Daphnia pulex: one gene and its partner. The protein of the gene in region 1 binds, or shares a complex with, the protein of each later gene. Links are inferred from orthologs where the notes say so. Each region holds a gene or a part of one and is shown in the gene's direction. Other genes may lie near its edges.

Region 1 (4,128 bases):
ATAAATGAAAAAAAATAGATTGACTCACCACAGCTTTCATTTAATGTTTATCACATTTCAACATTTCACTTCGATAAAAAAAACAATCTTCATTGCTTTCACTTCATTAAATTGTAACACATAATAATTCACACAACATTAGCTAAACTCATCACAATAATTCATATCACTAATCACTATTCATATCTGACAAAAAACTCACTTTAAAAAAATTCTTCTCACAAAACTGATGCACCAACTAACAGACAAATATTCAACAGCAGCCAATTTGAAACAACAACTTTCCAACTAAGAATCTGAATCAACACTGAATATCTGACTGTAAAACATCAAGAAAAAAAGAAAAACACAAGGTTATACTAAGAATAATGTGATATCAACAGTACTAAGAAAACATCAATCTAAATGAAGAACTAACCAAGGCCACGGACAAAATAACAACCACGAAACACTGGCCCTGCCAAATTTATTTCCTTTCCTCTGATTTTATTCGACACAAGAGGTGCAACAGTGAGGTATAGAATGACAAACAGAGAAAACAATACGAAAACTTAATTTTTAAATTTCCTAATCAAGAAAAAAAACGAAAGGAGACTTATAAAATCTCGAAGGTGCCACAAAGGGGCTTGATTAATGGTTAATGAAATGGACTCTGTCATTTTTTCGTTGCAGCAGAGAAAACATTGGGTAGTACGTTTATAAATAAAGTAAATACGTTAAGTTTATGATAATTGTGTTGCTTAAAGGACTTGTTCTTTTTTATTTAACATACTTAAGAAGCATCAACATACTTTTTAAAACTTTAAGTACGTTAAATCTATGATAAGTGTGTTGCTAAAAGTACTTGTTCTGTAAACATACTTAATTTCATTTTTATAAACATACTTATTTTTTTGTAAGCATGTTACACTTCGAAGAAGCATGAAATTTTGCTTTTCAGTTTGTTTATAATTCTTACCAAAAAGCGTAACGTGTTAAGTAATCTTAAAGTGCTGAAATAGGGCTAAAATAAGCATCCTACCGAGCTTCCGTGTAGCTTTTAACTGTCGGTCAACAGTATCAAAATAATGTTTTACCTGTCTGACAAGAAAAGACTTCAAATATACTAGGATAACTAGGAAATTATGTTGGATCGTGTCGGATTTATGCGGGTTTTTTTTTTTTGCAAGATTTTTGCGGGATTTTGAAGAAAATCGTGCAAGATAAAGTGCAGGATTTTTAAAAAAAAAAAAAACGGATTTTCGGGACTTTTTAGGCAACCCTGCACGACTTTGCTATTTCAGAAGTGGCAGCACTGGTGGAAACAGAGAAGAAGTTCAAGACTGTGGTCGTTGGCCATAGACTAAACTTCATAAAATGGCTGACGTGCCTGATATTGACTTGTATGCCGACGATCTTGGTGATGATTTTCATGGTGTAAGTTTACGTACTTATTTATAGTTACCGGAAGAATGCGATGTTAATATTCTGTAGTTCGTTTATCAATAACTTATTTATGTACATTTATGTTCATTTTCTGTTGTTATCCCACCGCAGTGTTTGGCGTGGCGTCTTTGCTGTTTACCGTTATTAGATGAGACAGCATCATTTAACTTATTTTCTTAACTGATTACAGGATGGTGACGAACAAATTGGCGATGGCGTTGACTTGTATGATGACGTCTTGACATCTTCAACGAGCATCAAGCAGGAACTAAATGGAAAGGAGAAGATCTCAACGCTATCTTCTCATATCACATCCAGCTCTCTACATGGTTCATCTTCATTGATCGGAACTCCACTTCAGCTTCATGGCAGCAACAGCTCATCACAATCCAAAAGGATCCAGTTGTACGTGGGCAATCTGACGTGGGTACGATTATTCAAACCTTTCCATTTATAAAACCAATTGTTCAAAGTGTCGTTTTATTTATCTAAAAAGTAATTGTGCTGTATATCGAATCATTCCCAGATAGTTCCCAATTGTTTATTTTTATTTTATCGACATTAATCAAATTGTTAAGTCTGTGATATCAACCTAGCCACCATGTTGTTATGATGGAGGGGCTATGATGTGTGATAAAACTGTATGATGGCATTCAAAATTGAAAGAAGGGCATCATGAATGTTGATGTATGTATGTGTATGTGAGAAGGCATACCAATTCAGGGACATGAACGACCATGCATGTTGTACGCTGTGTATCTGCACTTTTTAAATAATTTTTTTTATCATCTATTGATCTATCATAAGTAGTCCATCAAAACTTATCATTAGCCCCTATCAAAACCTTTGACTGAAGGTTTTTGAGTTGTGTTGTATTACGTTTCTCAGGATGCGGTCCTCCATAGAACTCCCCAGAAAAAAAATTCTTGTCAATCAGTTTTGCGTAACTGATGTGCCACATCCATCGCCCCATGTTTTTTTTTCTCCTTTGATCTCTGAAATCGTCATCTCTGCCAAACGATATTTGAGTCGAATGAATTGTTAGTTTGGGGTGGGATATCGCTTGATATGACAATCTCAGCCACGTATTATAACAACCGCTGGCGCCCATGTGCAGGAACATCTTTGATGATGACAAGAAAAAGAAACTGCACTCTGGCATACACTCACTACAAATTGCGCGGCTGTGTAAAGGTGCCCGATCAAAATATCTTTTATTTGACCAATACAATTATGGTATGGATGTAATCGGCAGAAAACGATTTTCATGCTTTGTTTTTCTATATTATCTTTCTTTCTTTTGTTTTTTAAACAAACAAACCCAATCCAAAACAACAACAAACGACAACGACACAACATCAATTTTGTGGTTGTTGGACAATACAGTGGACCACAGATGCCGACGTGGAGAATGCAATCAGCGCGATTGGCGTCCAAGACCTGGTGGAGGTGCGATTTCATGAAAACCGAGCCAACGGCCAGTCGAAAGGCTTCTGCGTCATCACCGTCGGTTCCGAGATCAGCGCTCGTCAATGCATGGACAAACTTCCCAAAAAGGATCTGCACGGACAGACGCCCATCGTCACCTTCACATCCAAACAGGCGCTCAATCAGGTAAGATCAAAACATTTCTTAATCGTTTAGTGCTGCTAGACGAATTTTTTCCAAGTGCATACCAGTAGAACCATTGACTGTCTAAATTGAATACAGTTCAAAGGTGGGAAAGTGTAATGCAACATTAAAACCAATCAAGTCTGTAAACCTACAAGTGTCGTACAATTTAACACTTAACGGACGACTTGACTGGAACATCTTTAAACATTTATGTTTTATGCATTTCTTTTAATGTCAAAATATTTTTCTTATTCAGTTTGAGGCGCAGTCAAAGAGCCGCCCATCTAGACAATCAAGTCCTCCGCGGAGTACCGGTTCTGCTCCATCCGGAGTTCCGTCGCTAACAGTCGGATTACTCGGACCTCCTCCAATGAATGGGCCTCCTCCTAGGATGATGATGGGTCCGTCAGCTTCTTCATCCGGACCCCCACCTTTAACGAGTCTCTCATTACCTCCGCCACCTTCAGTTCGTGGTCCACCGACACCCGGAGGCATTCCCGTTCCGCCACCGACGCATCACCTTCTTCCACATCCGGTCATGTCACCTACGGTCGTACCGCGAGGTCCACCACCCGGCATGGGGATGCGTGGGCCTCCGCCCGGAATGGATATGAATCCTCATCGTATTCCGCCTCCTGGCAACGGCCGGCCAGAATGGGCCAACATAGTCCAGCAGCCAGCTCCTCACGTCAATCCGGCATTCTTCCCTCCGCCCGTTGCGGCACCTCCGCCTGGATTCCCTCCACCGATCGGCCCACCACCACCATTCATCACTGATAATCGGCCACCGCACACCAATGAGCCGCCAAACGTCAGTGAAGCCGAATTCGAGGAAGTGATGGGCCGCAACCGAACAGTTTCTTCTTCCGCCATTGCTCGAGCTGTTGCGGATGCCTCAACTGGTATGTCTTCAAGCTTCATTTTGCTCATTGAACCAAAATCAGTAGTAACTTATCTGTCTTCTTCATCCAATCAGGTGATTACGCCAGTGCAATCGAGACGCTAGTAACGGCCATTTCGCTCATCAAACAGTCAAAAGTGGCGCATGATGAGCGCTGCAAGATCCTGGTGTCTTCCTTGCAAGATACG
Region 2 (3,521 bases), on another chromosome or scaffold:
TTGCAGGAGGAGATATATCAAAAGAATCTTAAAATAGAAAAGCAGCAGATAGAAATCGACAAGTTGCGAGATCAAGTTTCGGAATATCGGACATACTACAAACGCGAATGTAAAATTTAGTTTGATTTTTTTAAAATTCCTAATTTAATCCATTTTTTTATGAATAGTAATTGAAAAGGCACGCATTCTTGGAAAAATGGAAAAGTACGACAGGGAGAAGGCTAAATTGGAAGCTAAGGCTAAGGTAAATATAACCACTCCTTTTATTACAACGTAATCTTAACTCATTTTTCTTTTTCTCAGACGCAGAAGAAAAGACATGACACAGAGTAGTGTTAGGTTGTAATCCGGGTAGTTAATTTAAGTAAATTAACGGAGTGTATTAAGCGAGGCGAAAGGAGCTTCTCTCTACGGACTCAGCCGAAACCAGACTGCCCTTCTTCCTGCTCGCTGCTTCCAAGCTTCAGCGCTTGAGCGCCGCACGACATCTAGCGGTCGCGGGAAGAAGGGCACAATAACACAACAAGTAGGAATTGAATAAGAATTTTCTGGTCATTACATTCATGGTTAGATCTATTGTCACGACATATGTCGTGGCGCGACGGTCAAAACTGTCTATTGTCACGACATCTGTCGTGGCAATAAAGAGAAAATTGTCTATCACATTTGATAATGGATCGAATTAAAAGACGAAAAATAGATTTTTGGTTATAGCGCTGGCATGATAATGAAGAGGGCCATGGTTCAAGTCTCATTATAGATTTACTTTTTTTTTAGAATAAAAATATTGTTTTGACCCATGCCCTTTGTTAACCATGACTCAGACAAATCAAAATTTTGCGGTAGAATTTTTTTTCACAAAATTTCATAGAAAGAACATTGAATTTATAGAAAAATTCTGATAAATTTGGAAGGCATTTAGCAAAAAGTCCGACTTAACAATAGGCCCTGAATTTTTCATTTAAGACAGTTTTCAACTGGCTTACGACTATCCCTTCGCGGCGAGCTGATAAGCTTGCTTTTCTATCTTTAAAATATATATATTCTTAAACTGTCCGAAAAAGCCCCTTCTGTGGGGTGAAACCGGACAAAAAGTCAGTGAAACTAAACCGTTAATATTTAAGCCATTTATTACTAAAAAACATTTTCAAAAGAAGTTTTTGAAAGAAGAAACCCTGGGCTACATTTTGGTGCCAAAACAAATACTTTTCTGAGCTTGCACTTAAAGAAATATTAACTATAAACCAGTTTGCTAAATTTTGTCCGGAATAGCCCCTCTTCCCCTACATCTATAACTCTGGTTTGGGAACGCGCGATATCGCTAGAGCAGAGCTATAGAATACTGGTAGCGCCACTGCCATGTTAACTCTTCCTCTCGGAAATTTTATCTGGGGCTGAAGCCAACTTTAGCAATCGATAGTGAAAATCGGAGATAATCGGAGCTAAGATATCGATCTCGCTCCTTGCCACTCCTCCACTTTTCCCTCCATTCCTATACCATGCCATGCGAATACCCTATTTCCCCACACACCCGCTGTGGTGCTTTTAGCTAAGGAGCAGGGCAGGCTTCAATTCCAGAGAAAAAAAGCAATGGAAGAGCTCGTCATATGAGTGGCGGTACCAGTATTCCATAGCTCTGGCTAAGAGAATAAAATTTCAGTTAAATTGCAACGTTGTCAATGCCAGTTTCTGTCAGTCTGCTGAATGCTACTATTGCTTTACCATGGCTTGCATACAATCCTGTACGAATCGCGTCGGTTGGCCTAAAAGTGAAATAAAAACCGAAATAAAAACTGAAATGTCAAACATGAAATTCAATCAGGGATCTTTGACGTTGCACAGAACTATCAATTTGTAAGTATTTTAACCTTTTATGGAAATAATGCCACATGAAGACAAAGAGCAACAATGTTTTGATTGAAAGAAAACAATGTTATTGAACTGCTATTTTCAAACACTTATTGACAGCAACATTCTCTTTATATTAGGTACCCTTTGTCAAACTACACATTTGGAACCAAAGATCCTTTATTTGAAAGAGATCCATCAGTTCCTGCACGATTTCAACGAATGAGGGAAGAATTTGATAAAGTTGGAATGAGACGAAGTGTAGAAGGCATCTTACTAGTTCATGAACATGGGCTACCTCATGTTTTGTTGTTACAGTTGGGAACCACTTTCTTTAAACTGTAAGAGTAATTTACAAAACATCACCTTTCATTTCTAATCTTCAACTTTTCTTCAAAGGCCAGGGGGAGAGTTAAACCCAGGAGAAGATGATATCGAAGGGTTGAAGAGACTACTAACAGAGGTATTTAAAGAAAAAAATTCACTAGTTTATTACTTTTTAACACCCTGTCTAGATTTTAGGAAGACAAGATGGTGTAGTGCAAGATTGGCTTATTGAAGATTCAGTCGGAAACTGGTGGCGTCCAAATTTTGAACCACCTCAATATCCATATATACCTCCACACATAACAAAACCAAAGGAGCATAAGAAACTTTTCTTGGTTCAGCTTCAAGAAAAAGGTATAAATAATTCTTTTCGTCTTGAGCAGTTTGGATATTTTAGTTATTTTAACCCTCTTAATGAACATGATATTTATTCTACATTAGCTCTCTTCGCAGTACCCAAAAATTACAAACTTGTTGCTGCACCCCTTTTTGAATTATACGACAATTCTCAGGGATATGGTCCCATCATATCCTCTCTTCCACAAACAATGAGCAGGTTAAAACTTTAATCACGGTATGATTTTCTTGGGATAATCATTAGACTTTGTTTGTCAGATTTGATTTCATATACATGTAAGGAAACTTCACAAGCCCAAGTTCTCTACACAGTCCAAAGGCGAGGGTTCTGCAAAATAGTCTCAACAATTTGCGTGTTTTTTTATTTGTGGCAGTGACTTTGACGCTTATCTAAGTGAAAGAAGAAACGAAGGCTCATTTAATTCGTTAATCGTCTTAATGTGCGGCTGAATTTGATTCATTCAATAAATGCTTATAAAAGCAAATCTCATTGTGTTCGCGACGCAAGTCGACCATTCAAGTTCAAGAAAATAAAAATTCTTTGTTAAAGGTATGGATGAAACGAAGTAATTCAAGTATATATTTAGTGTAACACTTGGTCGAAAGCCTTCAGACAGATTGGGTGGCTAACCTACTATAATCCTCTCAGACCCGAACGGGGAAAAAAAAGGCTTGACAGTACATTGACAAAGAAGAAGCGAAGTGAGGTCAAACAGTAACGAGAATCGACAGGGGGAAAAAATCAACTAATCTCCTTGTGGACGTGGATTATCAAATAATCCTTCGGCAATAATGAAGAACGTGACCAGTGCGTCGAACGAAGAAGGGGGGGGGGGAGTAAAGAGCAACCCGAGAACAAGCAGAGGGAAGGAGAGAATACGAAATTTAACTCTGGTCGTTGGTAATTACATCAGAACGTGACTCGTTACTCTCTCGATCCTCCACATCGCCCTAGCGACCTCAAAGTGCGCCGTTGAAAGAAGGGGAAG

What was found. The genes of interacting proteins can lie anywhere in the genome.
Region 2: the proteins of cleavage and polyadenylation specificity factor subunit 6-like (region 1) and cleavage and polyadenylation specificity factor subunit 5-like are in contact, whole or in part, in a crystal structure (PDB 3P5T), measured with the Homo sapiens proteins. The link is inferred for Daphnia pulex from reciprocal best matches to the Homo sapiens genes CPSF6 and NUDT21. Residues at the interface, in NP_008938.2 of Homo sapiens: Trp90, Trp91, Thr92, Thr93, Asp94, Glu95, Lys113, Phe114, Glu116, Asn117, Arg118, Ala119, Asn120, Gly121, Gln122, Ser123; in NP_008937.1 of Homo sapiens: Pro151, Asn152, Glu154, Pro156, Tyr158, Tyr160, Pro162, Ala163, His164, Ile165, Thr166, Lys167.

Annotation. Positions count from the first base shown.
Region 1 is NC_060024.1:13,144,979-13,149,106, forward strand, and holds the start of cleavage and polyadenylation specificity factor subunit 6-like, read left to right. Parts: upstream 1-1,278; 5' UTR 1,279-1,356; coding exon 1,357-1,416; intron 1,417-1,615; coding exon 1,616-1,852; exon of another isoform or gene 1,853-2,493; coding exon of another isoform or gene 2,494-2,661; intron 2,662-2,811; coding exon 2,812-3,039; intron 3,040-3,295; coding exon 3,296-3,941; intron 3,942-4,015; coding exon 4,016-4,128. UniProt on the Homo sapiens protein: Component of the cleavage factor Im (CFIm) complex that functions as an activator of the pre-mRNA 3'-end cleavage and polyadenylation processing required for the maturation of pre-mRNA into functional mRNAs.
Region 2 is NC_060020.1:7,579,856-7,583,376, reverse strand, and holds cleavage and polyadenylation specificity factor subunit 5-like, read left to right. Parts: upstream 1-1,594; 5' UTR 1,595-1,723; coding exon 1,724-1,854; intron 1,855-1,988; coding exon 1,989-2,189; intron 2,190-2,247; coding exon 2,248-2,311; intron 2,312-2,363; coding exon 2,364-2,529; intron 2,530-2,616; coding exon 2,617-2,731; intron 2,732-2,790; coding exon 2,791-2,812; 3' UTR 2,813-3,017; downstream 3,018-3,521. UniProt on the Homo sapiens protein: Component of the cleavage factor Im (CFIm) complex that functions as an activator of the pre-mRNA 3'-end cleavage and polyadenylation processing required for the maturation of pre-mRNA into functional mRNAs.